Caenorhabditis elegans: one gene and its partner. The protein of the gene in region 1 purifies or fractionates together with the protein of each later gene. This does not show direct contact. Each region holds a gene or a part of one and is shown in the gene's direction. Other genes may lie near its edges. The genes, in order: lec-5 and far-6.

Region 1 (17,121 bases):
ATCACATTTTTTCAAAAATCAAGAACTTCAATCCAGCTGAAACCACGGGTACACAGTCCAATACACAGAGTTATTAAAAGATCAGAAATCTAGGTGTTGAGCACCATTCTTCTAGCCTAAAAAACTTAATAACGTTTTATTCATTATTAATGTTTAGAGAACAGTTGGAGTATTAATTGGTGTGAACCATGATCGACAACATATTTTTGTGGGTTTCCGATCTACAAACGATCCGTTCCAATTTGTTGCTCAATTCTACGTGTTCACAATGGGATGGATGAAAGATTTTCCACTGGGTGGGAGAATGGTTGCAATTTACGTTGAAATGTATAAAGATATTCTGGAATTTGGATTTGATGCTTCATTAGAGAAAGTAGTACAAGAGTATCCATCGTATTCAATGTTAATCACTGGGCATTCTCTTGGTGGAGCTATGGCTACTATATTCTCACTTCATGTTGCTCTCAAATATCCACAGAAGAAGACTAGTTTATATTCAATGTCTGCACCACGAAGCGGAGATGAAACATTTGTGAAACTTCTGAGAGAACATGTAAGCGATTTCAAAAAGTTTTTAAAGGGGAGTGAAAGTGTTTTGTTCTAGACGTCGGAACATTTTAAAAATAATTTTCTTTTTTGCCTGAATTCGGAAAAGGCATTCTGTACAGTTGTCTAGTACGGCCGCCTCCTCAAATCACCAAAAAGTACCTTTAATCGTTCCAAAAATTTGAAAATTCCAGGTTTTCGAGGAGTTTCGCGTTGTTCGAGACGGCGATTTTGTGCCCGACGCGCCGTTCCGTGTGTCACAAACAATCGAGACAGCTCATCATAATAGTTTTGAAATATTTTATGGAAGTCACATGGCTGTGGATAACTATAAAATATGTAATCAGCCTGAAACAGAATATTGTTTGAAAGGATCTTGGTGGAAGAAACCGGTGGCACACATGTATTTGTTTGATCAAACTTTTTATAATTATCATTTGGGTTATTGTGAATAAATATTTCCGTTTTCTAATTTTTGCCGATCTAAAATTGTTCAAGTTGCATTCATAATGATTTTTATAAATTTTCATTTTTTAAACCCGTAGAAAGCCCTTTTAAATCGTAACAAAAAATTAACTATCCATAAATCGGCCTAACACTATCATAATGGATATTCCCGTTCCGCCCATCTCGTATAACTCGGTTTACATTCCAATTTGTAATTTGGTTCCAGGTGATTCTTGTGGTAAAGAACCTAGAAATTGGTATATTTTTTAAGTTATAAATTCATTCAACTTACATTGACCATTTGTGCATAGTAATTTTCTTCCAGCGGATGATCTACTTGTCCAAGAAATGTTCGATTGTACAGTAGCTCGGCCGTGCATTCCACAATTGAGTAATCAAATGCTGGGATCATCTATATTGAAATTTAGGCACTTTGTATTTGGTAGATGGCTTACTTTGTTGAACATCAAATTGGGATATGCGGCAACTGTTCTCAAGTCCTCAATTCCCAGTAAGCAAATTGCATGTCGAACTGTTTTTGATCCACATTTGTGGGCACTTCCGTACATCCATTGTGACATTCTGCAATCCAATAACGTTAATATTTTCCAAAAAAAAAAAACCAATTTTACCTTGATACAAAATCAGTATTTCTTTTCTGTTTCAAACATTCATCCGTGAAATGTCCAGGCATTCCTAGATCAGCACTCACTTGAAAACTTTGAATAAACTGCTCATCTACGCCAGATGACTGAAAATTTAAAAATAAAAAGAAAGAGATTTGAAAAAATGTGTCTCACTCCTTCATTCCATTGGTTAATATAGGTTGAAAGATCAACTGTTCGAACCATCCAATCAACTGCCCCCCTTGACAATGAGCCTTGTACAGCTCCTTTTGCGAACTTCATGCTGGTGGTTAAAACATTTTTGTCGATTCCAGTTTCTTGAAATTTTTATTTTAACTCAATACAATCAATTTAGAACTCACCATTTCGAAACATTTTTAGAGAAACTGGGTCCCATTTGAACTTTTTATTATCTACACGTCCTGCTTCAGGTGTAATCTCGATGTCGTTTGCTCCACCAAGCCAATCATAAATCTGCTCTATTTCATATACGGATTTAACAATGACATCATGATTTTGAAGTAAAATGGCATAGTTCCAACCAGGTTTGTTAATTAGAACACGGAGGCAATTGTAATGTGCAAGATTGATGTTATGACCAGCTGAGTCCACTGATTCTTCATCTGAAATTTTATTTTTTAGATCTACGAGTGGGTTCTTCTAGATTAAGATAAGTATACGAACACCATATGAATTTACGTTTCATTTGTCATTTTTAGGCATTGTAGGTTTTTTTTAATTGAGTTCAAAAAAACAATTAAACATCAACGCAAAATTCCGTCTCCGCATTATAAAATTGTCAAACTTGATCCAAATATCTGAAGTCAAACAACTACATATTAAGAAACTTTGGAGGTTTTAAATCAACATTTTGATTGAAAAATGACATGTTTAAATTTTTTAAGCCATCGGCAATAATGTACCTGGAAGAAGCAAAACATTTGGAAGACACGCAGCCATTGCTCTGAGCCTTTCATGAAACTGTGACGGAGCTTTTTTGTCAATCGCGAAACAAAATGAATTTTGTGGATGATATGACATTTGAACTTGTTTCTCAATCATTTCATAATCTGTATAAACAATTCTCGCAAATGCAACACCATTTTTCAAAGGTTTCAAATCATTTCCCGATGGTAGAATTCGATTCATAATTGCCGAACATGACATATTGAGATTCTTATTTTCCACAATTTTTACTCGATCTTTTCCAGACACTGTTTGTAGGTAGACCTGTATGAATAAAAATTAGGTTTTAAAATTTTGAAATTTAAACAAAATATACCTTATCGTCAGCTAAGATTCGTCCACAATCGATATGATCCGTTTCTGGTCGTCGTGGATAAATTGCCTTCTGGAAATTCAATTAAAACTTATATCTGTCATTATATTTTTACATAAAAAATTTAAATAATATTCATACGCAGTTACGTAGCAACAAAAATGCATGCCTGTCTGATTTAAAATAAGATCTCTGCCTGACTTGTATATGTGGGCATATCTCGTTTTGTTAAATTTTTCTTGAATTTTGGAATTTTGGAATTTCGCAGAAAAACTTGATTGTATAATTGTTATTTCTTTTTTGATTTTTTTGTTTTACAACTAAATATTTGAACTTAAAATACAGTTATAGATAGAATTAAAACATTTTTCATGTTAAAAAAAACTCACGAATTCGGTTTTCAACTCCATTTTAACAAAATCTTTCTGCAGCTCGCTAATTATGGCATTTCTTTGATCAATCTCATTTCTCAAATCGTTTACCACTTGTTCATAAGTCATCGGATTTTGTTTATCAGTCGTCAAGGGATCTGGAAATGAAAAAAAATTTAAACTGTATAAAGTTTTTGATAATTTACCGTAAATTCCTTTTTTCGGATTGAAAATCCATAGATAATACGCAACGAAGCATACAGCAAGAAACAGTAAAATCCATATAAATTTAAATGTTTTTGGTGCTGCTGAAGGATCCAATAACTGGTAACGAATCTTGCTTCGCATCTGAAATTTTTTATAAAAAAGAGAAACATAGAAAACTGTTTAAATTTTGAAACCTTTATATTTTCTTGGAAGAAAAAACCTATACACAACGAGAAACGAGGAAAAGTTGCGGAGGAACAATTCAATCTTTTATTGTTGTTCTCTACCTCTCTGATATTGAAAACTGTCAATATAAACGGAGAAAAACCATGATATTTAGGCTTTTTCTCGAACAAAAATACAAATTTCAAAGTTTAGACTCGTTTTTCTCCGTTTTTATGCATTCCGAAAAATTCAGGGTCCATAAAGTTCTATGGAAACAAAACGAGGCATCCGTTTTTGGAAAGAAAATCGGGGAAAAACGTTTTTTCACAATTTTATGCAGATGGAAAATGAATTCATATAAAAGAAAATGAGTTGTCATGGAAACGGGACAACGGATTAGATTAGCACTATTATTATCAAAACGAGAGAATGGAGCAAGCAGGTGGAGATGGACAACAAAAGAGTTAAGTTTTCTCGCAATTGTGCCAGTTGGCAAGTTTTTTAAAGAGGAGTAGCTTATTTGTTTCCTTACTTTTTTGGATTAAAAAAAAAATTATTTCACACTTAATTCGCAATGTGCGAAAACTATTATTCGCATGCGCACATTACGATCAATTTTGTTTGCGTAAACTCTGCCAATCTTGTGAGGTACCTGTACACATCGTAAATTGACTGTGTTATTGGAAATTTTTCGAAAATGTTCTACAGGGGTTCTAAACTTCAAAGAAGTGGGGACAAATAAATGAACTAAAAACTGAAATTTGTGCAGCTTGTTTTTTCATATAGTATAGTACTTTTTCAGTCAATAAGTGCACAAATTTTTATATATTAACAGTTCATTTTCAGCCTCTGTGACACAGACAAATTTCAAACATCTGACTTGAGTTTCTAGCTGAATTTGGCCCATTCCGACAGCTGTCATGAACAATGTTTTGAGAAATTTTCGAGATGTATCTTTTTGACATTTGGACTTTTGGGACTATTGAGTCTATGATAGTAATAAAAAATAGTTACCTTTTTGCTCTCGTGGAAGGTAAAAGACTACAAATCCGTATAATACTTGGAAGCAAAAGTCCAAAAGGTTCAAATCTGAAAATCCAACAAATGGGGGCATTGACATTTCCAACTCTAACTGTTCTTGATAAAGAATATACAGGGGAAAAAGCTGGGAACAATGAACAACTTTTAGTATAAAACATAAAATACACTTTTTTGTTAAGAAAAGTAACGCCCTAAAAAGGAGTAAGCACTCAAACACATATATGGCAGGGAGTTGGCAAATATAACTTAGATATATCATGCTTTGTATCTGCGTCTCTACTATTTACAAACTATTTTTCACTCATTACTGATAACATTTTAAAAGAGAACAGTGGTGTGCAGACGTAGCTGCAAACTATTTAATAATGGAGGTGTTTTAGTTATAAATATTCATGTGTATTTTGTTGAAAAAGAAATATATTCCAAAAGTGATAAAATGTTATTTACATTTCTATGAGTAGTTCAAAGATATCTATAGTGTTTCTATTTTCTCTCAATTGCTAAAAAATTCTTCTTAAAACAAATTGGACCATTTCTCTGAGCTGCAGGGACTTTAAAAATTTAAGATAATTCTAAACGATCAGAATTTTTTGCCAACTTTGACCGAACATAAAACATTGTTGGATATTTTTAAATTAACATAGGTACCGTTTCTATTAGAATGTTTTAATATAGCGGGGCACTGTCGTCTTACTCTACTAAATGGTTAGATTACTGTAGAGAGATTAAAAATATTTCAAAGCCTTTTGAAACAAAAAAGTTGGATAATTTAGCTATTCAATGCAAAAATATAGTATACCTTCATTCTTCCGATTAACTTGACTTTTGCTCGATGTAGGCTGTGATAATATTTTTATACGATTCAGAAACTGTGCTCCTTTGTTCGCAGCTATACTTTTTGCAAGTAAATTTGAAAGAAACAGAACGTCTTTCTCTCCATTAAAACAACATAGCCTGTCGTTTTGTTTTCAAATCGTTATGTTCTGTGATATGTGTGATTTTCCTTTAAAAAAACATCAGATTTTATTCACAATTAAACTCAGTTTTCGAATCCAACAAATCATGGCCATATGCAACGAGATTCCCGCTTGCTTCAAAAAATCTGAAAAAAAAAGTAGTATTTACTATAACGCAGCGGAATGGGGTTCGGAGACATCCAGACCCAGCCGGGCACGTATTCAATGCACCATATGACGACAAGCACACGTATCACATCAAGGTTCCTAAAAAACAAGACCACCAACATGAAGAGACTTGGAGTTGATCCACCATGTGGAGTGCCCGAACCCAAGGAAGATGTACTGTTGGCAGTTTCATGTGATGCCTTCGCATTCGGACAAGACGACACCAACAACGACCGTATCACCGTCGAATGGACCAACACCCCGGATGGAGCTGCCAAGCAGTTCCGCCGTGAATGGTTTTAAGGAGACGGTATGGCTCGTCGCAAGAACCTCTCTATTGAGTACAACCCAAAGAACATAAATCTAACTTTCCCAACACTTCAATAACACTTTCAATAAAGTTTCATTGATAGATCGTTCTTTTTTTTTTGGATTGACCATATGTTCAGAAGTTGTGTTATCCAATCGAGAAAGAAAATCGAAACTCCTTCACTTTCATCTTTTGAAGTTTGAAAAAAAATATATTGAATCATCTTTTTTGATTCATCATAATCTTTAAAGTTCTTTAAAGATAAATTCATGTTTGCTTCGCCGGATAACCCCAGCGAAGCTTTTCCAAAAATTAAAGTTGTTTGACACTCTCTTTCGAAAGGTCAGAACTCCAGCGTACCTTGAGTAACTGGGTTAAAACCGACTAACACTGCGAGACATCTCCTCTTATACAAATGTGTGTACAGACATCTTTCGAGGCAAGCGAATAACTGTAAGAGAGTGCCTCCGACAGAGACGCCGACGGCTCGAAACTGGCTGTGTGTGGCCGAGTGGGGCAGGAGGGAGTGCAAGGCGCAATACACCAAGGGTTCGACCCCAATTCAGTGTTAGAGGGAAATAATAAATTTCACCATTTGTAAATAAAATTTTTAAAAAAAACTATAACTAAATTAGCAGTTTTATGGATATTTATGCGATGAAGAGAGTATGTTAATAATAATTTCCAGCATTCTTCTTTCTAGTCATCGGCGATCCTGATCCATACAACTCACAATGTTTGGCTCTGTTCGTTATCATTTTATCAGTTGGTTTACACTTAAATGCATCGGAGAACTGTTTCATTTGAGACATCAAGGAATTGACTCTCTGGTAGTTGTTTGAATGTGCAAGGTTTTGAAATGGAACTCTGGACATTCCATCCTGAAATTTCAATTTTTCATAAAGTTCAGACAGTCACAAGGAATACCTGATTGCAAAAGAAAACTGCAGCTCCGTAGAAGAATAATTGCTTTTTATCAAGGGCCTCATAGTTCGGAACAACCGTTTTTCTGGCATAGGAGTTTTCGTAAATTCTCCACGCAATTCGATACGCAGCTAAATCAGCAGCATCTTCTTCGAATGTTACTGTAGTATTACACGCCTGAAATTGAGTTTATAAGTGAATTTCGGTCAATCGGTTAATGTAGATTACTTGAAAATCTCCGATTTCCTGATAGGCCACAAAAAACTGAGAAAATCTCGAATTATTAAAAAGACTGACTTACAATTAGAATCACGATTTTCCAACTCTAATTTTTCTGTTTGAATTCCTCGCAGTTTTTATTTTGGAGGAAATTGAAAAAGGAAATTATCACTTACTGGTTTCATGTTATGCATTTCAGTTACAGTCGGAAACGTTTCACATGTTTTGAGTGCTTGATCCTTTACACAATCTGCATTTTTTGTCCAAAGTTTTGAAAGTGGCTTGTCTAGATCGTTATCGTCAAATACCAATGTGTGCATGATTTCATGGATCATTGAAAACCCGATGCTCCCGTACTGAAATTGAGAATGATTTCTTGTTGAAATTATGTGGGAAATTACCAAATCAGAAAAGTAGTCCGTATTCAGAAGAAGCAGGAACTCATTTCCAATGTAAACGCTATTCTGAAATAGTTTTAAAAAATATGAATTTTTGAAAATTGTTTCGTACATCAAACGAATTAAACATTTGCCACACGTCTTTCAGTATTCCTGCTTGGTCCTGTGGGAAAATGTCTTCGATGGGTTCATCCAGAAGTTCCTCCGCTTTTCTTGTAGCAACACCTTTGCAAACTAATTCTGCAGTTGGTTGAGAGAATGCAACGTCTAATCTAAAATTTAGGAAATGGGTAGTTTATGGAACATTTTTCCTAACTATAGATGGAACTAATTTTCAGCCAATTTTTGACACTTTGACATACATAAACGACACTTAAGCTCTAACAAACAGTAAGGAACCAAAATTGATATACATTGGGAAAGTTTCAAACGGAAAACATTCTTCTGCAATTCGAAACTCACTTTTTTCTACAATCTTTCTCAGTGCTCTCATAAAGCTCCATGCTTTTTTTCACAGTGATCCGAACATCAGCAAAAGTTCGAAAAGTGATATTGCTGAGCGCTTCAACATATTGCTCAATTGCTTTATAATTCTTCGCCCATGGAGTTTTTATTATTTCCTTTGAAATCACGCTTTTGAACTTATTGAATAGCTTTCTAGCTTTTACATCCAATTTTTCAACCAATTTACTTGTAATGAATCCATTCACAGCACTGACCAAAACACTACGGGTAGTTGTCTGAACCTTAAAATGTATATTCCTGATTTAAAGAAAGATATACATAATCTTCGATTTCTCCAACTTCTTTTATAATTATTGCTGCTTTTTCTTCACATGGATAATTTTCAAAGCCAGGGAATAATACTTCATCTACATTTTCAATTGTTCTATTATCCTGAGCGCTGATGAAAAACGACGAAAGGCGAGGTTTGCTGGGTTTGCATCTGCAAATCGAATTAGCTAAATTTTAGGTGCATTTGAAAATTCACAATTTTCGTTTTTTTCACAACATGAAAATATTATTTTCTCTATGAAAGCTCACTCCGATTTAAGTTGCTCAATGTTAAGTTGCTTCAGAGCTTCTGCTATTGCGAAGGCATCTTCCCCTTTCTGATGAAAAAAAATTAGCTTGCCCATTCAAAACACTTTAAAACTTACAAACTTATCAAATTTTGGATGCTTTTTTCTATATTTTGCTACCATCCCAGCTTTCAGCTTGCTCAGATCTTCCATGAAATATCTTTCAACTTTCCATGGACACACATGGGCATAGAAATCAACACACGGATCCACAGAGAAGTCAGCATGTCTGAAATTTGTTTTTAACTCAATAAAACTTTTAGATGTAATTCTCTATTACTTTTTAATATGCTCTTGAATGATATTCTTCGGTAGAGAGGCTTTTGATGTGCAAAAAAGAATAAAAACAGAAAATATGAAAAAGGGAAGAAGGGCCTTCATTTTAGGTGTCGAAACAAAAAATATGTGATGCACGGATACTTTTATAGTCGAAAATTCCCGCCTACAATAGCACAGTGAGGTGGCCGATTTCCCATATTGTTTGGAAAATTTCGAATAATTTGCATAACGTTTGTTTTATTGTCACTGAACATTTAAGGAAGCGAAAGAAGCTGAAGACAAATTCCAAAAATGAAAAGCAATAGTTTATTCAAACAAAACAAATTAAGGAATCAGAAACTCTCGAAAGGAAGCAAACCTTGTGCAAATGACAATGAGGAATCCACTCCGAAATAATGATTTTCCCATGTTGTACCTCGGAAATTTCGTTTTCAAACCATAATAAATCTCCGATTTGCCATTCATAGTTTCCAATACTTAAAAGCCATTTAAAAGTTCGATTTCAGACTAGTTTAGAAGTGAACAAAGGTTGGGCAAACTCTGAAAATATTTGGAAAATATAAAGCCTTATTCTCCCATTTCTTTGGATTTTTTTTGAACAGCAGGAACAGAAGGACCACCTGGAACGCGAACAGAGTGAAAACACTTTTACTGTATAGATGTTTGGTATTTTTGGTGAGATCTTCATAATGCTTCAAATAATGAACACATCACATTAAGGTTCTTCGACATTAGTACAATGTTTCAACATCCTCCAAGCTGTCCATGCGAACATCGTAAATCCATCAAACACCCCATGTGATGCTGCTCCCTTGGATACCTCTACACAATAAATATATTTTTCATTTTGAACTTTGAAATTTGTTGAGACTCTCATCTGCTTACTCATCCAGGAGACCAAAGTGTTTTTCACTATTTTAGTGTCCGTTTTCTGATCAAAGCTCAAACCTTCGCCCCCTCTGATATCTTCTCCGCATGGCCTCTGGTCGGAGCCTGAACATTCCAATGGAAAACAAGGAAAATGTGTTGGTGTAATATAATGAATCAATTGAAGAAAGGGGTGGAGATTCCCGAATCATCAACACATTTATCTTGCCAATTGTCCATGGCTCAAGAGTTTGAAGCAGCTTCTTCGAAAGTTTGCCATTTAGCTTCTATAGTGTCACGTAACATTCTCGCATGATTTTGAAGATGTTCTCTTTTAAAATTGTATTAAAAATCTTTCAATTTTATACTTGCAGAATGATAACAAGAACGATTGTCTGCTTATCTTTGGCAGCCTTGGTTTCATGCCAAGGAGATGCTTCTGATCCAAAGGAGACAAACTATAAGAAGTTCATCGGAGAACAAGAATACGTTAGTTATCTAGACACTGGCTAGAATCTGAAAATTATTGTTTCAAATTTTTAGAAGCTCCCATTCAAGACCCGTGTCAGTGAGCCACTTGCAGTTGGACAAACTATTCACGCCGTTGGAACTCTTTCTGAGAAGCCAACTCGTGTGGATTTTAACTTCCACAAAGGATCAGCTAAAGATGCTGATCTTCCACTTCATTTCTCTATTCGTTTTAATGAGGGTAAGTGTTTTAATGAGTAATTTCAAGATCCGGTATAGTATCGCAAAAAATTTGTACGACAGTACCCAAACTTGCAAGATCATGAATAAAGATAATGATAACCAATACTTACGCTTAAAAAGTAGCAATTCAAAAACAATTTCTATCATTAAAGAAACTGATGTCATAGTTGAATGTTTTCGTTTCCAGAACAACCGATCCATAAATTAAATTTAAAAAAATACTATAATATTTGAATTTCAAACAATAAATTTCAGGACTTCTCGGCAGCGGAAAGTTGATCTACAACACATTCGAAAACGGAAACTGGTCTGAAGATGAGCAGAGAATTAGCAATCCATTCAAAGCCGGACAAGAATTTGATTTGCGTGTTCGTATTCTTGAAGGAAAGTTCCAGGTCTTTGCTAACCGTCTTGAGGTTGGAGTCTTCACTCAACGACTTCCACTTGATGGAGTAAGTTTGATTTTAAAATTGTTTATCAAACAACTTCGAATTTAAGATTGATCACGTCTCAATCCGTGGAGATCTATCAAAACTTCGTCTTTTCCACTATGGAGGAAGAATCTTCCCTAACCCATATATGGCAGTTGCTGGTCTTACCCCAGGAAAGAGACTGGATATTTCTGCTCTTCCAAAAGGTACAAAAAATAAAATGTCCGTTTATTCACATGGAAAACTTTCAGGAAAGCGTGTCAATGTCAACTTGTACCGTGAAAACAAAGAGTATGCACTTCAAGTTTCCATCAGATACAATGAGGGAGCTGTTGTCAGAAACGCAATGACTAGCAATGTTTGGGGAAAAGAAGAGAGAGAAGGAAAAATGCCACTTGATAAGAAGCAAGTGTTCGATATCACCATCATCAACGAAGAGTACTCTTTCCAGATCTTCCTTAACAATGAAAGGTTTCAAATTCCTTAATTTTACTGATTTTAATCAATATTTTTGCAGATTCACCACATTCTCCCACCGTGGATCGCCAAGCGATATCAAGACTCTTGAAATTGATGGAGACGTTGAAATCCAGACTGTCACCATTAATGATGCTCCAGGAGTTTAAATTTTTGTTTTCTGAATATATTTTAAGTTTTTATATACTGTCCAGATCTAAATAAACATTCTAAGTTTCCTTATCCGTAGCAATGTTTTGTTGGCAGACTACAATAGCTCGATTTTCATGGAAAATGTTGCAGACTCTGTTTAGAATTAAAATTTCCTATTCAGAATTCGATGTATTCAACTTCAAATTGTCCGAATATAAAGGAATACTGCAAAACTTTTAAATACCAAACATTTTTAATCCAACTTTGAGGTTTTCCAAAAACATGCACTTTTGCGTCATGGTGTTTGCGTACACTCGATTTACGAAATGCATTTTACTTGACGCGCAGCATTTTTGTTTGTTGTTTTTTGCAAATTCCTCTTGCAATTAATTTTCTCGTCATGGGAGTAGACGATTTGCTTATTAAAAATGCTCAAAAAACTATTGATCGATTGATCCGGCAGTTAGCAGAAATAGAACAAGAAGAGTGAGTGAATTTTTTGTTTGTTTTTTACTTTCAAATGTTTCTTTGTTCAGGAATAATCTCGAAGAAGACGAATACAGGGAATTGCGTGAAGACACTGTAAATCAACTTCAGGAATATGGAAAAATAGTCGAACGCCTGCAAGGCGGAGATGTTTCTTTAATTGATGATCTCACGGCGACTAAAATTGCGATTCGAACAGCAATAAGTAAAGCCTTCAAAACACCTGAAATTATGGCTTTATTTGCTGGAAAACATACTGGTCTTTTACGAGAAAAATTGATGATGGTAACTAATCTCAATGATATTATCGTTTAAAATTTAATTTTCAGACAGAAACCAACTACCGATCTCAAAAAATGCCGAAGCAAGGGTATCTGGAAAGGAAATTTGAAATTTTGATGGCACTGAGACGCCTTGAAGAAACATTAACAGAAGATGAAAGGAAGTTTCTCAGTGATCGATTAGAAACACCAGAATTCCAATTAATTGAGGCAAATGCGAATCGTCTTTTCAGTGGAAATGTGTAATTTTTATTAAATTATGAATTTTTACTTGTATATAAACTATAATTTTTTTTTAATGTTTTTAATCAAAAATCGCTTGTTTTATATCGGTTTTAACCATGCTGCTCAATTTATCTTTGTTTCCCACGAATGATTTTATTCCTAGGACCTCACCAGTTTTCAGAGTACAAATAATGGCTTCTCCAAAAAAACCAAAAAAAGTTAGGTTAGATGATAAAACGGAAAATGTATCACCTCCATGGAAAGCCTGGTGGCACACGGAAAAGAAACGGAAGTTTTATACGAATGATAAGACAAAAGAAAGTTTATGGGATCATCCAAACACCCGAAAAAATGAGGAAAAATCTCCGGTTAAAGCGAAAACGAGAAAACGGAAAGATGTAGAGGAAAATATCCATGGGACCATGGATGATGATAAAATGGTAACTATTAATTATCAATTAACAGATTAATTTATTCATTAAAATTTAGGAAGTCGATGTGGTACCCCCGCCAAAGCGGAAGTCTATGGAGAAGTTGGATGATGAAGAGTTTTCATGGAAGAGGCCAAGAAGATCGGACAGTTCGGAGAGAATAACGAAAAAAGAAGACATTCCCAGCTGCAGTGGCGTTAGTGTTGATATAATTATTAAGCTCTTTTAAAATAAAAATCAGTTGCAGGTAGAATCTCATTCCAATAAAATGCTACCACGTGTTCCATGGTCTTCTGAAGTTCGACCATTCAAAGATTTGCATTATCGTGCGTGTGCCATATTCGATACCTGTGCTCTTCTGGGAAATCCTGATGTTCTCAATGCTTCCATCGAAAGTAAAATATAGAGAATGATATTATTATTGAAATTTCTATTATTTTCAGAACAAATTCTCACAGTCATTCCATATTTTACATTATCTGAGCTAGATGGTCTTAAAAACGGATCAGGACACACTCGAATTGTAGCTAATTGTGCAAATAATAGTATAAAAGATCTTCTGGAAGAGAAGAATCAGTACTTGCATGTCGAGACGAGCACAGAGCAACAGATTCAGATAAACGGCTTCAGTGCAAACACAACTGTTGTAGATGATTTGATTCTAAGAACTGCATTGCGAATAAAAAGAGAAAGTAAGTTTTTTTCTTAAATTAAGATTCGAGAATATACCACAATTTTCAGTAATGTCAATTCCATCTACAATGAACCTCAATGATCGTGCTATTATACTCGTCACCGAGGATGTGAATCTTTCAAACAAAGCACTGACTCATGATCTGCACGTTGAGACAGTTAAATCATTCATGGACACCATTCATGGTCGGAAGAAACAACAAACGGATTCGGATCAACTAAATAGTTCAAGGAAGTCTTCGAATTCTGATAGAAGACAAACTACTAGGAAAGAACATCATGCTAATTCTCATTCTAACAAATACACTAGCAACGACATAAAATACAAAAGGAACGAAGCTGTTAAAAGTGTAAAGAAACATCGCGAATTGGAAAGTTGGATCAACGACTTAGCCAAAAAAGATGCTGGTCGCAATGCTGGTTTTGTTAAAGAAAACAAAGTAGAGGTAACAAAAAATTATTATTTTGTAAATTAAAATATGTTTTCAGGCTCCCAGAAAATCTCGACCATCGATCCCACTAGCAGACGAGATCACTCTTCAACCGTCTTCCTCAAACTCGGAATCATTTAAACCAAGAAAGACATATCCCTCATCAACATATCAATCATCTCAAAATGGAAACGTAGTCAAGACGACCAAGCCAAATAGTAATCGCCCAAAAATTCCGTTAAGCCTTTCGGATGACGAATGTACCTTCAACGACAATATGGATTGTTCCTGAATATTGTTTCCTATTTATAATTATGATTTTTCTGCATTCCTGCATCCGGTCTCATTGCATGTACGGTGTACTTTAGTGAATTATTTAGTGAATAAATGTTTTTTATGTTTTTTTTTACTTCAAACTTAATAGAATACCGCTAAATCAATAGAAATGTTTCGATTGTTTTTGCTTTCTAAATATATAAATCCAAAAAGCAATCAGAAGTTTAAGAAGAGACACTGCAGAATTTCAAGAACGGGGGCTTGCTGATTAAAAAATTTGCAGCAAGCATTATTCACAAATTTTCTACAAACTGCTTTCATAAAGTTTATTTATATCTTTTAATGTTTAAAACGGCAATTTAAAGCACAGTAACTTTTCTTAATCAAAAATAGTTCGATAGACAACTAATTTTTCTCACAAATCGTTGTCTCCCGATAATCGATTCTTTTGTGTACAGAGAGCGCGCTCCAGTGAACATTCTTTTTTTGCTCGCGACGGAGACAGAAATGGAAATTCTCTGATAATTCGAGTGTTCCTTTTCATTTTTTTTTATTATTCCAATGAATAATTTGATGTTTGTATAACCTTTTCGATATTTCAAATAAGATTTAATGTTTTCTAGACTTTTAAGCGATTTCGTAATCCTCGAATCGAATTTCCGGCTGATTTATGAGACTTTAAATATATTTAAGTTTTCAGGTAATGTCTGGCACAGCAAGCTTAGTTCATACTCTGCCGGCCAGTGGTGATTCTAATCATCGTGGACTTCACAGCTGTATGTTTATTCAACCTTTCAAAAAACAATGCAATAAACTTTTCAGTGAAAAATTCGCGTCGTGCTGCCGATAATGAACCACTTCTTCGATTTCGAGAAGCTAAAAAGGTTCTTGGGGATGTCTATGGAGAACTGAAAGACAATGTGGCTGAACTAGAAGGTGTTTACAAAGGTATTTTCTGTTTTTTACTTCGCCGCAAATATAAACCCACAAAAGTTCCAGATATTAAAGAGAACGACTTTGTTAGTTCTGAACAGCGGGAAGAAATCGAAGCAATTGGCGATTCAATCAAAACTATAATGGACACATTTCAAAGAGATAACATGAAGGTTGTATTTTTCGGAAGAACCAGCAACGGAAAGAGTACAACTATCAATGCGATGCTTCATGAGAAAGTGTTGCCCCAGGGAATGGGACATACAACATGTTGCTTTCTGCAGGTGAGAATCACTTTTTTTTCATATTTTATTGTAAATTTTTGAAATTTCCAGGTTGAAGGTTCAGAAGGCGAAGTTGGCCATCTACAATTAGATGATAATCCCCAAAAGATTGATATGAAAATGCTTGGAAAAATTGGACACGCACTGAGTGACGAAAATTCAGATCTTCCGGCAATGGGACAGGATTCTCTTTTGAAAGTGTTTCATCCAAAGAAATCGGAATCAGGGGAATGCCGACTTCTTCAAAACGACGTCGTCATACTTGATAGCCCTGGTGTCGATCTTTCTCCAGAATTCGATAGCTGGATTGACAAACATTGTTTAGATGCAGATGTATTTGTGCTTGTATCAAATGCGGAATCAACATTGACACAAGCCGAAAAGAACTTCTTCCTTCGAGTCGCGAAGAAGCTTAGCAAGCCCAACGTATTTATTCTCAATAATCGATGGGACGCCAGTGCAGCAGAAACAGAAAACATCGAAGATGTAAAAAAGCAGCATTTGACGAGATTCCGTCAGTTTTTGGTCGATGAGCTTGAAGTGTGCTCAGAAAGAGAAGTCAATGATCGAATCTTCTTTGTTTCATCGAGAGAAGTTTTGGAATCACGATTAAAAGCTAGGGGACTGGTACAAAAAGCCTATCAAGCAGAAGGTCATGGCACAAGAGCCTTGGAATTCCAAAATTTCGAACGACATTTTGAGCATTGTATCTCTCGATCGGCGATTCACACGAAATTCGAAGCTCATAACAGGAGAGCTCATGAAATGATCGGAAAAATGCGGCTCAATCTGAATAGCGTGCTAACCTCTGCAGCTGAGCAGAGAAGCAAGCTTCAGAATAATCTAAACGAATCCACCAGGACTTTCAATGAATGCCGTGTAAACTTCACTCAATTTGAAAAAGCTTACCGTGAGCAGACAGAGCAACTGCGAGCCGAAGTTCATCTGAAAGTTTCTGCTGATTTCTTTGAAGAAATAGCACGACTTGATGCAATAATTGATCGATTTGAACAACCTTTCGATGGAAGCTCTTCCGGAATGACAAAGTATAAAGAGGATTTGGCAATCTTTGTGGACAAATGTTTGAGCAGTGATTTGGAAGCTAGATGTACCGGTGGCCTAATGTCAAGAATTTGGAATTTGGAGAATGATATGTTCCGTAAGTGTTTATCTGGGAACTGATGTGTTATAAAAAATTTTTTTTCCAGAATATGTGACAAAAATCCTCGCCGAACCTTATCAGAATAAGCTTGAAGAAGTGTGGCGATATCGTGCTCCTTTCAAATTTAGCATTTGTGTCGATGTCCCTGCTCTTGTCAAGTGAGTTTCGATGGATTTTTTGTGTTTCATTCTTACATTTTTCAGTGATTTCCATGAAGACCTCGAGTTCCGATTCACATTTGGTCTACACGCAATAATTCGTCGCATCATTGCGTATCGAAGCG
Region 2 (16,660 bases), on another chromosome or scaffold:
GCATTCACATCAGGGGGTGGGCGGCAATCGATTTTTTCCGGCAAATCGGCAAATCGGCGAATTGCCGGAATGGAAAATTTCCGGCAAATCGACAAACCGGCAAATTTCTGATTTGCCGATTTGCCGAGTTTGCCGAAAGAAAGCAATTTGCCGAAAACTTTCGTCAAATTGTGGTTTCGCACTTTTTTTTTTGGAAATTTCAGAATTTCAATTTCAAATGGCAAAATTGCACGCATCCTATGAATGTTCCTACATCTATTTTGAAAAGTAAGCAAATTCTTTGAAAATATGTAGAAATACTGAAAAAATTCGTAAAGACACAGTTTTAAGTGTTTCCGTCTTATAAAAAATCCCTCTAAACATTTCCGGCAAATCTGATATCCGGCAAACGGCGAATCGGCAATTTACCGTAAATGAAAATTTCCGGCAAATTGGCAAACCGGGAAATTGCCAGAATTGAAAATTTCCGGCAAATCGGCAAACTGCAAATTTACCGATTTGCCGAATTTGCCGAACGGCAATTGCCGATCACCCCCTGATTTACACCAGGGCTGCCGGTTTGTCGGTTTTTCGAAACTATCGAAATATCGAAAATTTTCGTTTTTCGGTTCTCCAATTTTTCGACTTTTCGATTTTTCGGTTTTGCTAAAAAAAATGCATCTGAATTCACTCGAAATTGCAAAAAATGGTGGTAGGCACGCACGTATTCAAGATATTTTTTCCTGATTTTTTGACACTACAAATTCTTGCCCTTAGTTCAAAGTTTCACTTTATTGAACTGAAAGCAAAGTTCCAATAAACCGATTATCAGTCCTTCCACTTGACACGTAAAACATGCAATATTTGACACTGATAATGTCAAACGGAATTCCAAAAAAAATGATAGATAAAAAATTTGATTGATATGCATTAAAACAATGCCTAATAGTTAGAAAAAAGTCAGATAAAGAGTTGGTAGGGACGGGACGATTCAGAAATAAATCAATTTTGAATTGACGGAATTTCTTTAGCCAAGACTCGCCTAATCATATTTCCGAAACCGATCAAAATGTTTTGTTCCAGTATTCTGAAAATGACTGCGAACTCATTTTTTCAAGAAGTTCAAGAAAAAGAGGTTCTCTTTTGTTTTTTTTTGTTAATTTAGGTACATTTTAAGTCATTGGAGATATTTCACAGAGACTATATTTTCAGGTATTTGTACTAAATGAGAAACTGGATCAGCTTAAACCCGATGCACTGTTGTAAATGCAACTATTAAGGTCAGTCATGGTAATCTCCGTAATTCTGTTTTACAGGTCACAGCTCGGTTTCTGTGGGCTCATTGTAGGGATTCAAACATGCGCTATAGTTTTCTCAAAAAGTGGCAAAAACTTAGTAATTGCCACTTTTTGACTATCAATTAAAATTTTTTCCAACCAAATTTTAAAAAGCTTTACAATGATATTGTTGCATTTTGGCACCACACAGATTTAGGTTCAAAAAGAAAACCCTAAACTTCATTACACTAAAAGTAGTTTTCTTAATAATAGAAATCCAGGGAAAGTGAGTCATGTGTCTCGAAGGGAACGTGACATTTCATTGGAACTCTCGGTTCGGTACACTATTTCGTTAACGATGGGTCATCCAAGGTCGTATAAAAACATGGCCGGCGGAGCAGGAGCTGCACAGCAGAAGCGGCGCCGAGCTTTCTTTTCTTTAAGTTCTGCCGTTTTTTTCTCATTTTTCTCATCTATTTTTCTTTTAGAAATATAAATTATAAAACAACATACAGTAGACATGAAAAAAAACTTTTATGGGTCTTTTTTTGAACTGTTGACTTTGTGAAAAAAATGGCCTGAAAGCATTTTCACATCTACAGTGCCGGCCAATATTCTATTCGCTTTCCGTGATTTTATGATATCCAGACTATTTCAATTAAAAGTGGCAACCTATATAATTTAAAATGTTATAGCAATGATCCGCATCTTCCTTGTCATAGCACTTGCCTCCGTCGCTGTCTTTTCTGCTCCAATTTCACGCTTACCACAAAGCTTAGACGACATCCCAGCTGAGTTCAAGGAACTCATCCCAGCTAAAGTTACTGAATACCTTAAATCCATCACTACTGAGGAGAAAGCTGCTATTAAGGAATTTATCAAAAGTGTTATGGGAGGAAACAAATCTGTTGAAGAATTGAGTGCTGATATCAAGGAGCGGTCCCCATCCCTGTACGCTAAGGTTGAAAAACTCGACGTCCTACTCCGCACAAAACTCGCGAAACTCGACCCCGCCGCTCTGGCTTTATTCGGGAAAGTCATCGCTCAGGGACTTTCTTTCCGGCAACAGTTCCATGCCGGATACCAGCCAACTCCTGAGATGGTAAAGAAACTCTTCAAGGGATACATTGCTGAATATAAAACACTTTCTGAAAACGCCAAGGCCACCATCACCGATGAGTTCCCCATCGTCGTTGAATTCTTTCAACGTGAGTTTTTAAAATTTGAAATAAGATTAAACATTCGGTTATTTTCAGACGAGAAAATTCAAGCCATCATCCAACAGATCGTGAACTACTAAATTGTTTTTTTTTCAATTATTTTACCAAAATAAGCTTGTTGTCATTTAAAAATAAGTACCTTTGAAATTAGGTGTTTTCATGAAACAAGGTACACTAAGAAAATTATCTCCACAAAGTTTTTTACATTTTGCAATTTGCACTTCCTATAATTGCTTAAGTACTCCACTAAAAAACCAATAACAATTTAAATGTTTATTAAATGTATTTCGAAATTTGAGATTCATATGAAATACAAACAAATTGCAAAAAGTAGAAAACTGCGAAAATTATTTTCTTATTAAACTTTGTTTTATGAAAACACCAAGCGTTTAGATACTTGGAAATTCTAATAAAAAAACCGACCCGCCTGATGTCAGCTGCTGTAGCTTTTTTTCTGGAACAGAGTTGTATAATTTTGAAAAATCCAAAGTGTAGAAAAAGTTTTCGTCAATACTTTGTTAGTTGAAAACATTTTTCCAATAAGCAAAGTATTTGAGTTTAAAATATTTGAACAAACCATTAAAATCACTGCAAATCCGGGGTATCAGACAAAAACCAGAAAAGTATTGAAAATATATATTTATTGAAGTACCATCATAAGTTATATAATAGTTATCATTGGAGAGAAAACCCTAGACATTGGACAATTCGGAATACAAATAAGGATTGGGGATTTGGGGGAAGACGGGGGAAAAGTGAGGGCAAACTAGGCGGTACAATTATGGTTGTCTATGCGTATCCGTTTCATGATTGTTGTTTTCTTCACGGTATATACAAAAAGGCGAGAAGATTGTAGCAGTTTTTGGTTCGATGATGATGTGTGTGAGATGTTCGATCGATTAGAAACGACGGGCCTTCTTGCGGAAGTAGCAGCAAACCATGCACTGAAAGAGTGTTCGTTTGCTTATGATCTATTCGAGCCTCCCTCCCCATTCTTACACACCCCCGTCCCTATTGTAATCGTCTCAATTGCCACACACAAGAACGGAAACCGGTTGAATTGGTTGCCGATCTCTTGCTTCTAGACACTACTCTCTTACCTGTTGTCCGGCATTTTGTCCGACTTGGCAGACCGATTGTCCTGGGCACTGGTAGTTTTGGTTGCATGATCCGATTTGAACTCCTCCGGTGCATCCGCATTGAGCGTTCTGTGGAGCCTGGGTGGAGACGTATGGGGCTGGAGTTGGAAGAGTTCCTGGCTGGCTGTTGGTGTCCCAGACGCAGACTTGGGATTGGACGTCGAAGACGGTTCCTGGGGCACATGGCATACGTTGCCATCTTCCGCAGAACAAGTTGTTTGGAGCTGGCTGGCATTGAAGGTAGTGAGTGCGGGATTGTGGGTCAGTGGCAAGTGGGTCGATCATCCATGAGCAGATTCCTTGGTATTGAGCGTTTTGAACTCCGGATCCTTGGACTGAAATAGAAAGGTTTAGATTGTAGATTCTAGAACCATAAGATCTTACCGAGTGGGCATGGCTGTGGCTGGACAACTGGAGCAGATTGTTGTGGGCAGTATTGTTGCTGGGTGGTTGTGGTTTGGCAGTTCTGTTGAATTTGGGTTGGGGTGCACTGGCATGGTTGCATCTGAACTGGAGCCTGGGTGGTGGTCTCTTGTTGTTGGCAGCAGGAGATGGAGACAAGGATCTGCTCATTCTGCTGATTGTTGGTAGAGCATGTGCAGGCTGGTTGGTTCTGTGGGCATGGGCATGATGGGTATTGGGAGAATCTCAATGGCTGTTGCTGGGCAGATCTGCGGACCTTCTTGACAGCAGAGATTGGCTCGAGGATTTCCGGCGATGGGCAGACACAGTTTTGCTCTCCATTTGGACAGGCGCACTGTCTTGGAGCCTCACGGGTCTCCTCAACGAGGAATTGCATGGCCGAGGCAGTTGGGCAGAAGTTGTACTCGGTGGCATTGGCAGACTCGCAAAGTTCCTATAAACAAGAAGATAAACAAAAGGTTGAAGAGTGAAAGGTAAAGGATTACTTGTTGTTTGTTGACAGAACGGACAGTCTTACAACGGCGAGCGGAGGCAACAAACTCGTATCCTGGGAGGCATTCACGAAGAAGCCAGATTCCGAGATCTTTTCTGGAAATGTGAGAAGGCGGATGAAGGTAAAAAGGTATTCAGTATCAAAATGGCTTACCTATCGGCAGCAAATGAGGATTGACGAACACATTCAACATAACGGGTTGGATCACCAGTGGCTCTAGGGAACGATGGCAATTGGCAGATATCACCAAGAATGGCTCTCCAGTATTGTGGAGTTTCCTCACCACTCTTGGATTCGCAAGATGCGAGAGCTATAAGAAAATGGAAAAGGTTATCAAGGAAGAATGAAACAAAATGTTAAAATTGTTAAAAAATCAGAAAAAAGTGATAAACCTGCGAGAGTAGCGCATCCGATAATGAGGAGGAAGCGCGCCATGTGTGTATGAGTGAGAAGAAGCTAGTGTGATGCTCAATCGGCAAACTCGTCGCGCTTTTATACGATTTGGCTCTGGAGCACACCTGGGGAGGGCTCCCGCGCCCTCTCCGAAGTAGGCGGTTCTCTCAGCCCGCCCTAATCCGGAACTCATCAGTGGAATGGCATGCGGAGAGAGGAGCGCACGCGCACCCGTCGACCCACTTCTCACCGCGAATACTTGTAAATAGATTAACAAGATTACAATAGGAATTGATACCCCCTCTCTTCTCTCTTGCTTTCTATGTTCATATTTTTTGAAAATCAAAAACTGTGTTTGTCAGAGTAAACAAACAAAACCCGTGTGTCCGTGCAAATTGGCAACTTACTACAGACAGTAGTGTACTCGAGCATGCTTTCGCAGAAACCGTTTAAGTAGTTGGTTCTCTTACACTACTACAAGTCTCTTTTTTGGCTTTGCGGCGTCAAGCAAGGCCGAAGGTTATGGGAAAAGAAGCTTCTAGACGCTAGATATTTCATCTTTTGGTTCTTGTTGACTCAAGTTTATTTGTGTCGTTCTACTTGAGCTTTTCTCTCTGATTTGCATCATTTTTGATAGCTGGAAACAAAAGGTTACGGTACAAAATCACTTCACAATTCATAAAAATTATTTGGGAATTTAAATGAAATATTGCAAAAATTTTTGAATCGTCTAAAATTGCCAATTTTCGCTCGTAAAAATGGATAATTGTTGTTTCTGATGATTATAAAAGCGATTTTAAAATGTTTAAAAAATCTACAGTACGCTTAATTTTTACAGGATCTACTCTCAAAGCGAACTTAATATTTTCAAATTGAGGTCGCGCAAAAAGTATCTGCGCCGTTAAGAAGTACAGAAGTACAGTAAGAAGTACTGCCCATTTTTTCTTCAAAATATTATTCTGTAGAAAAACGTTTTTGAAAAATCCCCCAAAAAAAAGAGCGGGTTACTGTAGCGCACGCTCATATAGAAAAAAATTTTGTTCGTCTCGGAAACCCATGGAGACGTAACGCTATTCTTTCAGATTTTTTTTGATTTTTTTCAGGAAAAAAATCTTGAAATATTTTTTGCAAAACTGAAATTTTCCGGCAATTGAAAAAAATGCGTAAAAACTCGATTTTTCGATGTTCAGACCTAGTCAGTGCACATTGAGAACTTTTCGGATGTTCGTTTACATTGTGCTCAAATTAGGCGAACTTTGTGAAAATCTGGCACACGTTTCAATAGCGAACCTGGATTGATGTCCGCTGCTTATTTAACTTGTATATCAATTGTATTCAAAACTTCAAACATGTTCGCTGTATGACATGCATGTGCTCTACAATTAGAGCCTGTTCTCTCAAGTTTCTTTCGTGCCCCCAAAGTTCCAGACACGGATCGGTTTCCCGTAATCTCTGGTCTCCGAAGAACACCCCCCCCCCCCCGTCGCCTAGTTCTCAGTGTGTATCCGATGTACGTATAATATGCACTTCATATATCCACCCCTCCTGTCTAACAATTAGTGAAGAATTGAAAAAAAGGTTGGTGAGGGGAGGAAGGAGGGAGGGCGCGAGCTCGTTGACGCCGCGTCTCGTCCGCATGTGCTTCTCCTGCGCATCATCTTATTCCAGTTTGCCCTTCCAATCGTCCGTTGGGAGCAATAAGAAGCATCAGTTGAGCAAGTGAGGAGGGGGGAGGCGAACAATGTGTGTTGAGTGACTCTATTCGTTGGTTTTTCAACAGTCTAACGGGTCCGTTTGTGTATGGGGGTATGTATGTTGCTTGTTGCTCCTGTTGGATTGTGAGAAGAGAACAACGAAAATGATATCTTGGAGAGAGAGATCCGCGCGCCCGCGCGGCACAACTCGGTCATCCATGTGCTCGCGGCGGCGGCTCCGTCAAGTGCCATCTCTTTTTCTTTATCTCTCGATGCACCATGCATTGGCACTCATTTATCTGTGAACAAGATTATCTGACACAGGTAGTATCCTCTCTGTGTTCAGATCATTGTCTTTAGACTCACGTTGAGCAATCTTTGAGCTGAATTAAATTAGTTTGGCGCCGGCTTCTTGACCAAATTTTTCCAGCTTGGTCAAGATTAATTTTAAAATGTGGCCGTGTTGGGTAAGTTTCTCTTAAATTGGCTCATGGAAACTGTAACCCAAAATGAAATTTCAGATCACTAAAACTCGGCCACCAATTTTTTTGTTGAAAATTGCCATGACGGTCAGAAACTCCGTTAAAACTTTTGCGAAATTTTTTTTTTTAACTGAAATTTTTTAGATTAACCGATTAATCATTTTGAATAGAAAGTGTGAAAATTTATTTTGGAAATAATTTAAATTTTCGAGAAAAAAATCGGTGGCCGAGGTTTTATTTGTTAGCGGTCATGGAGTAGAAGCCGGCCTGTTCCCTCAGTTTCCACCAGGATTGCGCGGCGATTGCCGACCGGCAATTCTACAAAATGAGACGGTTGGGCATGTTCCCCTGTTATGTTTCATTAAAGTTTAATGATACATATAGAAAAATATTTGCTTTGTTTGAAAATAATTTTCATTTGACTTGGAACAACCGAGAAAGTGTTCAAAAATAGTCCGAATGTTGAAAATTGGCGGTGAAAATTGCCGAAAAATTGACGGCAATTTTCAACATTCGGACAATTTTTGATAACTTTCTCGGTTTTTGCAAGTCAAATAAAACTTATTTTCAAATAAAACATATAGTTTTATATAAATAATGTATCAAAAAATTTAAATGAAAAATATCGGGGGAAAATAAGCACCCCAGATTTCCAATACGTGGCCTAGAAAATTGAAACACCGGCCACCAATTTATTTTTGACTTTTTACGGCTGAAACCACGACCAAAGTGTATACAAAAATGCCTAGGCGAACATAAACCACATGGTCATTTCCATCGGCCAAATGTTCAATGAAAAAGTGGTGTTCTATTGTCTCATGCTTCACACTTTCCCACGCCACTACTCAACCAGAATGAAAAATCAATTCAATAGTTCTATTTTTGACACCCTCTCCGAACTCTCTCGTTCTAGTACCCCCTCTAGAGAACTGTAATCAGTTTGAGTGCACACATGTCAGCTGCTTGTAGAGTTGTCTTATTGTTCGTCGGCACAAAATGCCCAAATATAGGAGTGAGAGAATGGGAGCAAAAGGTACAGAGAGAGAGAGAGAGAGAGAGACACCAAACACATGGGGTCTCAAACACAAGACGATCGGCGTCACCCGTGTTTGAAAGCGAGCAAGAAAAAAGTGCAGCTTGAAACACAATAGCATCCGTGAAGAAACCGTTGTGCCAGTGTGTTTCTCACACTCTCTTTCCGGGATATCCAAGTTAAAATCAAAATCAAAGGAGAAGGGTGCGATGTCCTTCGCATTTTGTTAAAGGGGTCGCACCGAAAAAATTTGGTGGCGGAGTTTTTCGTTTCGCTGCCACATCAGAAAAAATCGAAATTCTTTACTGTTAATTGATTATTTACAATTTAAAAATTAAAATTAAAATCAGCAGCCAGCGATAGCGGTCATTGGCTTTTAAAAATTGATAATTGGAAATCGATAAACAGCGATCGGAAACCGAATATTAAAAAACAGTCAATTTAAACCTAGCGACGGCGATAATCGACTTTTTCAACCCAGGTTGCAACTCCCTTAAGATCAGCAATCGGCAACCAGACATATTGGCGTGCAATGGCTTCTTCTGGAATATCTGACAACTTTCAGTTTTACAAAAATGACGTCACTTCTGAATGATGCAGGCATCACACTAAAATGGAAGAGGTTTTTCAAATGTCTAACAATTGTCACTTTTCTGATCATTGACCCTAAGCCCAAGCCTGAGCCTAAACCTATCCCTAAGCCTTAGCCTAAGCCTAAGCCTGAACCTAAGCCTAACACTAAGCCTAACCCTAAGCCTACGCTTAAGCATAAGTCCAAGCTTAAGCCCAAGCCAAAACCTAAGATTAAGCTTAAACCTAAGCCTAAACATAAGCCTAAGACTAAACCTGACCCAAATCGTAAACCTAAGTGAAACCTTTTAGTCTCTATTTTTCGAAGGAAAAAGTGCATCTTGAAACACAATAGGCCTTCCGCAAAGCAAAGGGTTTCCGGAGATGTTCTATTGAATTCAGGAGCACAAAAAACCCAAAACACATAGAGTCAAGACGTGTGGCCCAAAAACAATAACTGCGTTCGGAAACCTCCCCGCCCGGGGGTGCTCTTTCTCTTGTCAGCTGTGTTTTTGTTTGCTAAATGTGTGTTTTCTCGCACTTCCTTTCATTTGCCTTGCCCCATGTACAATAGATCGGAAGAGCAAAAAGTGGATGGAGTGAGAAGCCATAAAGTATTTCGAGGTAAAGCATTGGATGGGGTAAGAGTTGTCCCCACTTCCCTCAACACCACACGGCTCAAGAAATCTCATCCGGGGAGGGCAAAAAGAGACGGTACTTGAGAAACAATACGCATTGTTCATGCCTCCTCTTGCTCTCTTTTCGTGTGCTTCATCCGAGAAATTGAGCAAAACGAACGCGGAAAAGTAAGATGGGGGATATTCAATGAAAAAAGAAATTGATATGCTCTGATTTGTATTGTTCTTTTTTGCTGTTGCCACTGTTCCATAGAAACAAAAAACCAGCTTGAAATATGATGAGTCACCTCGGTGGTCTGTCGATGATTTCACTGGTGTTTACTCTCTGACCTGAAACTCTGGGAATTAGTGTAGCAATCTGAGGAATTTGGGATTCGAAAAAAGCTCTGAAAAAAAAACCGAAAATTGATGTTATGCCAAGACACATAAAGTTTTAAAGATGGAGTAGCATCTGGGGTTGTTTTTTGCCTTAAATGACAGAATACATTCCAAATATACCGAATATAACTGTTAAAAAATTTATAAAATTTTTCTAAATTTTTTATGATTTTTTTTAATTTTGCAAAAATTGAATTTGAATTCCCACACAAATGAGTGTCGTCATTTTCGACATTTTTGCGTTTTACGATGATTAGTCGCGTTTTTTAATATATATATTTTTATTTCTTTGCTTTGTAATTTGAAACATAATTTGCTAATTTTTTAAAAACATTTTTCTGTGAAGAAAACTTGCGAAGAAACTTCCCGAAACTCTAAAATTGGCCTAAAAATCGTTATTTCATAATTAACCATAATTTTCGTGTCTAAAAAATTGACTGTATCTATAAAACAAAGAAAAATAAAGAAAAACCAATTTGTTTGGCCGTAAAAGACAAAAATGTCAAAACTGACATCAATCAGTTGCACGTGAATTCAAAAATATTTGGCCCTTTTTATTTTTGAAAAAATCATAAAAAATTTAGAAAATTTTTTTAAAGTTCTCAACAGTTATATTCAGTATATTGGGACTCTATTCTGTCATTTAGGGCAAAAACCCACAGACGCTACTCCACCTTTAAACATAAAAGATAGATTCGAAAGTAGCTCTACTCGGTGATATTTGGGAGAATATAGTGGAAAATTATAATACGATAAAACATTTTAGAATTTAATTGGAAACCCACAAGAAAAACGGAGTTGAGAAACCTGAACAAAAAATACTTGTTAAACAAAATACAAAAATTCTTCAAAATGGCCCCGCACAAATCTTGGCTGTTTTATCAGAATTTCTTCGTCCTCCTTGTTTTAGGTGCAAAAATAACTGAAAGTTTCTGAAGAAAATTGAGAAACTACAGAAAATCTTTGTAGATTTCAAATTTAGCTCATCATAGTTCATGCTCTCCGTGTATTGTGCATTGATAAATATTGATAAACACTGTGCCAAAAAATCCAGTTTTTTTCTTCACACGAGACTCCACTTTTCTGATCGCTTTTCGCAAAACATTGGTTGACCTTTTTGCACTTCCTGTATATATAAAATTTCAGGTTAATAATTGTTGCAATTGCACACAATTCAATCTGTGATCTGCTCGTAAAGTTTACTCAACCTCCCCGTGCGGGTGTGTTGCCAATAAATTCCGACAATTTGTTTGATGGTTTGGGGGGGGGGGGGGGCTGTTCTTTATTGGATCGCCATTTTTGGAATATTTCTGAACCAGTTTTCTTGGAAGGTTTTCAGGTGCAAGGTAATATGTTTGTCTAGAAGTTCAGGGAAGATCTGTGGGAAAAAATCGGAGTTTTTCCAATTCAGAACATTTTAATACTTGTCCAAAACTTTATATAGTTCAGAAGAAATTATCAGTATTAAATTTTTGAGAATGGCCGAGTTTTTTATCTAGGCCACTGCTACATGGCCGGGAGAAGAAGAAAACTCGGCCACCGATTTTTTGGCGGCTAAGTGAGTGAGATTTAAGTACTTTATTTTTTTTCTGGGTTTGAGTAAACATTTCACTTCACAACTACAGTAACCCAACTTCTGAAGGACACTATTTCTACAAAAGTAGAGACAGGGCCAACGCCACGTGGCCGCGAAAAAAAACTCGGCTACCAGATGGGCAGTGCACATTGTGCACTTTCTCGAAAATTGTCTCCAAAAAGTTGTGAAGGATCATTTTCATACCATTTGGGGTATTTGGGGTGTGGTAAAATACTGAAAAAAAATTTTAGGCCATTTACTTATGTATCTAGTTCTCAGTGGAAGTTGAAGTCGGTAAAACTCAAAGCTTATGGGCTGAAATTAATATTAAACAAAGAAGATGATCTCTGACTTCAAATAATTTTTTTTTCTGGATTTCTAGACCACGAGTGACGTCACTGTTCTCACCTAAAGCTGAAAAACTATGAAGCTCTAGTGACTAGAATTCATATGGAAAACTATAAAATTTGCGTTACCAAAATAATTATAGGTACCGTTGTACTCCAACATACACTGATCGTTTTGTTCTTTGTATTTTTAAATCAGAAAACAGGTCTTGTCACATGTTTACATGGCAACATGTAATCCTTCTCCCCCCAATTTGCCACCGGACGTTTCACGGCTCGCTCGTTTTTTTGCCCCGCGCATCTTCCTGTCGCTAGCATCTTTCCGAGACGCGACTAATCATCTTTCGAAATGATAAGCGGGTTATGATGTGCCAAATTGTGAATCTGCTTCGTTTTGCACTGTAACTAACGACTTGAATAGGATTTATGACACATTTTCTATATTTTGTGGGGAATTTCAAGCGTTGAATAGTTATTGTTGTGGAATTCTTTCAACGTGGTGGTAAAATCATGACTAGATAAATTCAAAATGGAATATATTTAAAGATAGATTAGCGTCTGTGGGTTTTTCATCCTAAATGGCAGAATACAGTTCCAATATACCGAATATAACTGTTAAAAAGTTTAAAAAATTTTCTAAATTTTTAATGAGTTTTCTAACTTTGAAAAAAAAATTTAAGCCAAGATCTTTACCAAAACTTTGACTGATTATTCATAAAAAAGCTGCGTTTCAAAAGGCTTGCAACCAGTAATCCACAAGTGTTCTTTTTTCTCATTTCTCAGACAACCAATGTACCAGTTACTCTTCCATTTTTGGCAGGTACTACTATCCAGTGCAAACAAATTTCGATATATGTATCACTTTTATTTGCTCAATTTTACCGGCGCAACCTGCTCCGATTGACTTGCGTGAAATTGATGAAGGGAATGGAGATTAGCTATAATATTTGTGGATTTCAAAAGTCAAAATCAACGTAACTAATCAGTTGAAAAAATGATGACTTTCTTGATTGCGGGCTGGTTTCATTTTTTGAAAAAAACGAAAAGAAAGATGCACTTATGAACTGTCCTCGGCATAAGGGTGTTCGCTTTTTTTGCAGCTGGAGGAGCACACACTTGGCTCTCCGAAACACGCATGCAATTGCTGGAATGTCGATGCTCCTGTTGTACTTGCTCTCCAAAGTGTACTCAGATTATCTGGTTTTGAACATCGAAGAACACATATCAACCACACCCAGACTATCATTAGTCACTAACCCATTAATTTTTTTGGGAAGAAGGAATGCGGAAACATAAAGTTCAATATTGAAGATCAGAACACGAAAGATACGGAATGAGAAATTTCTGTAGGTTTTTGGTAATTCGGATGAGAGAGATCAAGGGTGCAGGTGAGGTGAGGTGACTTTTTTGTGTTTTTTGGTATTTTGGCGAAAAATTGAGTTTTTGGATAAAAAAACCAATAATGTACTTTTTTATTTAAATAAAATAAATTACTAAATTCAATTTTTTCAATATTTAATTGCGTGACCGAGTCCTTTCTAAAAAAATATACATAAAAACAAAACAAAACAAAAACACTTGTTTTTCGACAGTCAGTGTGAAAAACATTCATTACTATCAATTTTCGTTTACAATCACAAATCGTGGCAATCAAGTTATTACATCGTAACAAATATGGCCAAACGAAATGATTCCACCAATCCGAGAATCTACGGATCAGCCTTAAGGAAGAAGGAGGTGAGTGTGAATGTTTAGAAATTGCTAAAAATTCGCTTTCTTCCGCCTGTTCTTGAGCTAGCTCAAGCTTGAGAAAAAACATCGGTGGCCGTTTTCTTTTCTCTCGGCCATGTAGAATGAAACCCGTTTTTGCTGCATTTTGGCCGAGTGGAAAATCGCTGGAAATTTAAGTTTATTCCACGTGTCTTCCAGAAAAATTCTCGTGGCAGAGTTTGTCGTATTTTGCGGCCATGAAAAAATCTCGCTACTTTCTTGCCACGTGGAAAAAATTCTGATTTTGGTAATCGTCGAATTGTGTAAAACGATGAAATTTCTAGGTTTTTTCCACGTTTACTTGAGAAAAAATTGGTTGGCCGAGTTTTCTATTTGTCTCTGGAATTTGTCAAAATTTTCGAATCTTCGAACTCGAATCTTGTAAATGAGCAAATTGTGATGTTGTTGCCACGTGGCCATAGAACGCTATAATTTTTAAGCCGTGGTAGCCACCGGAAAACAGTTTAGACGTAAAATTTGCGTGTGGCCGAGTTTTCTCTTGTCGCAGCCACGTGGCTCCTATAGAACACACGCTCCACCGCAAAATCAAAATGTTTGTGAGAAAATTTGAATTTCCCGCCAAACTTCATTCTGAGAGTATTTCAATTTTTTACTTTATATATAATTTTCAGTCGTCACAGGACCTACAATTTGGTGTAAATAGTAATGAACATCAAATGTCAAGTGATCAACTATCAGAAACTCTTAGTATTGGAGGAAGTCAAGTGGCTGGAAATAACGAAACGGTCCCTGGTACCATGGAATGATGTTCGGACAAACAGTTGAAAAACTTTTGAAGTGGGATCATGCTTATCTCGTTCGTCGTGCCATGCAACGCAACTCGAAAAAGGTTTTGTGTCTTTCTGTCAAGATTGATGGAAAGATCTGTCATTTAACTTTAAATTCGAATAAGGATGGATGGAGTTGTGCAAAGGTAAGTAGATCATAATGGGAAGGGTGATAGAAACTATAACTATTACTCATTAAAAAGACCAACTTCCAATCATTTCAGCTACTGGCAAAGTTTCCAAAAATCACTCCAAAGCGCTTCCAACACATTCATCATCTTCTCGATGCCTGGTCTCTTGTTGTCAACTCCATTGTTCCAGTTCCACGTCGACAATTAGTTCTTCAACACAATTGTATTCACCTCGAAAACATATTGGGTAATGGAGCATTCGGCGAGGTTCTGAAGGCGAGATATATTCCACGTGGTCACACAAATGGTGTTGAAGTAGCAGTGAAACGGGCACTTGGGACGGCTCAAAGAGATCAGATGCAAGAATTTTGTCACGAGGCTCAGATAATGGGAACTTTGAAGCATGACAATGTCGTGAAGCTCTATGGAATTGCATCGTTGGAGCAACCGATTATGCTGGTTATGGAGCTGATTACCGGAGGAGATTTGAAGGTTTGTTACTCTTACCAACTATACCTGTGCCTGCCTACTTACCTACATGCCTCATTTTTACCTTTATATTTCAGAAATATCTCCAGTCGACTCCTTCAATCCCAAATCGTCAGTTGATCGCCTTCGCCCTTGACATTGCCAACGGAATGCGCCACTTGGTTATCAAAAAAGTGATCCATAGAGACTTGGCGGCACGTAACTGCTTGATCAGCAGACCAACACTTCAAGTCAAAATTTCCGACTTTGGACTCGCTGTGCAAGCAACTGAAGTAATCGTAAAAAAATTGGGCAAGGCTCCAACTCGATGGCTTGCACCGGAAACGTTTCAAAAAGGAATTTTCAATGAGAAGACGGATGTGTGGTCGTTTGGAGTCGTCCTCACAGAGATTCTGACAAGATGTGCTGCCGATCCACTTGCTCCGAGAACTCTTGAAGAATGCAAGAAATACATCATAGAGTCTCCACATCCTCATCGAATTGAAAACAAAGAACCCAAGGAGCTTGCCGATTTGGTGGAGATGTGCTGTGATAAGAATACCATATGTCGTGCGAACTTTCAAAATGCCAAGCGTCGTCTCAAAATTGTGATTGACCAGTACGACCATCCAGACGGCCACAAATTGGAATTGGTGAGTATTAAAAGTTGATTTTTCTATTTTTTGAGTTTTCCTCTAAAATGAGAAGCGAGAGCACACAACTTCTTAATGACATCTATCTCATTTCAGAAAAAATCCGAGGAGCGGAAGACGCTGACCATTCGCAGATCCACCGCCACCGTGACCCGAAAAAAATCTCGAGATGGAGGACGTCAAGCATCTGTCGAACGGAAGGGGCACGGTACTCAACGGAAAGTGGTCTCAGTGCTTCGAAAAGATAGAGGGGCTCTGAAGCTTCCGTCTGGAATCGCCACCAACCTTGAGAAACCGTCACCGCCACCTCACACTGCAAAATCGTATACAATTAAATCGCCGACGACTCCACCCGTGTCCCAGCCTCCTGTGTCCCAGCCTCCTGTGTCCCAGCCTCCTGTGTCCCAGCCTCCTGTGCCTCAGCATCCAATGACTCCGCCACCAGCATCTTCTGCAAGGCCACATCCGAAGTGAACTGTGTTTACATGAATATGAAATAAATGCTTTGGATGCAAAATGAAATATTTTGTTATTTAATCAACAACTTTTTTGTGGTGCATTTCTCTTAACTAAGCCTTCCATGAGGGTGAGTTTTTACCCTCCCTAAAATACCCTGTTCGGGTAAAGGGTAAAAAAGGATATCAACGTGCCCTACTTTTTTTCTACCCTCACGGAAGGCTTACTCTTAACAATAGACTTGGGAAAATAAGAAGGTGTGATTGAATACAATGGCCTCGGTGGTTGAATGGTGCATTTAGAAATTGTTAATGCATTTACTATTTCTATTCTACCCGAAACTTTTTTTCATTTTCGTTTTTTTCAAAGTTAAATTTAAAAAAACCAGAATCCAAAAAAAGTATCCCCTTTCAATGTTAACCCAATTATCCATTTCAGCTTGTTCAAACAAAATAAAACGTTTCCTTTTTTCAAAAAGAATACAAAGCAAACAAAAAGTTTTAAATTCCAGATAATATGCACTTTTCATTCAATTGGATGAAATGTCTACTCGACGACAACTCCGTGTCGTTCTTGCTCGAAATCCGCCAGATGCTTTTGCAAATTGTCCATTATTCCCGACTCTTGATGTCATTTTACAATGTCCGTTTCCCGGATGGACCATGGAGGTAAGAAATTCCTACATGCCTACAGTAGAGGAAATCCATTTTTTAGGTTCTCAAAATGATAACGGACTCTTTGAAATGGGAAAT

What was found.
Region 2: the proteins of lec-5 (region 1) and far-6 fractionate together in Caenorhabditis elegans (co-fractionation; one large-scale study listed by BioGRID). This does not show direct contact.

What each region holds. Positions count from the first base shown.
Region 1 is NC_003280.10:5,834,242-5,851,362, reverse strand, and holds lec-5 (Galectin), read left to right. Parts: upstream 1-10,259; 5' UTR 10,260-10,260; coding exon 10,261-10,374; intron 10,375-10,428; coding exon 10,429-10,594; intron 10,595-10,851; coding exon 10,852-11,048; intron 11,049-11,094; coding exon 11,095-11,233; intron 11,234-11,278; coding exon 11,279-11,498; intron 11,499-11,544; coding exon 11,545-11,653; 3' UTR 11,654-11,724; downstream 11,725-17,121. Other genes in the region: H41C03.2 (Fungal lipase-type domain-containing protein), read left to right, coding at 158-553, 741-1,001; H41C03.3 (uncharacterized protein), read right to left, coding at 1,148-1,240, 1,286-1,405, 1,449-1,575, 1,626-1,744, 1,794-1,936, 1,982-2,242, 2,543-2,849, 2,902-2,970 and 2 more; ZK1248.17 (MSP domain-containing protein), read left to right, coding at 5,822-6,109; nep-25 (Peptidase M13 C-terminal domain-containing protein), read right to left, coding at 6,788-6,997, 7,044-7,217, 7,436-7,615, 7,661-7,723, 7,770-7,929, 8,120-8,397, 8,441-8,603, 8,702-8,769 and 2 more; ZK1248.19 (Beta-catenin-interacting ICAT domain-containing protein), read left to right, coding at 12,037-12,122, 12,173-12,407, 12,452-12,649; ZK1248.15 (WW domain-containing protein), read left to right, coding at 12,820-13,068, 13,118-13,255, 13,307-13,454, 13,503-13,751, 13,801-14,198, 14,242-14,475; Transmembrane GTPase fzo-1, read left to right, coding at 15,163-15,235, 15,282-15,407, 15,459-15,676, 15,728-16,835, 16,885-16,996, 17,042-17,121.
Region 2 is NC_003282.8:13,326,408-13,343,067, forward strand, and holds far-6 (Fatty-acid and retinol-binding protein 1), read left to right. Parts: upstream 1-1,951; 5' UTR 1,952-1,953; coding exon 1,954-2,464; intron 2,465-2,512; coding exon 2,513-2,556; 3' UTR 2,557-2,907; downstream 2,908-16,660. Other genes in the region: pqn-74 (Chitin-binding type-2 domain-containing protein), read right to left, coding at 3,376-3,420, 3,577-3,950, 4,000-4,471, 4,524-4,626, 4,685-4,841, 4,924-4,966; glr-9 (Solute-binding protein family 3/N-terminal domain-containing protein), read left to right, coding at 16,451-16,576, 16,623-16,660.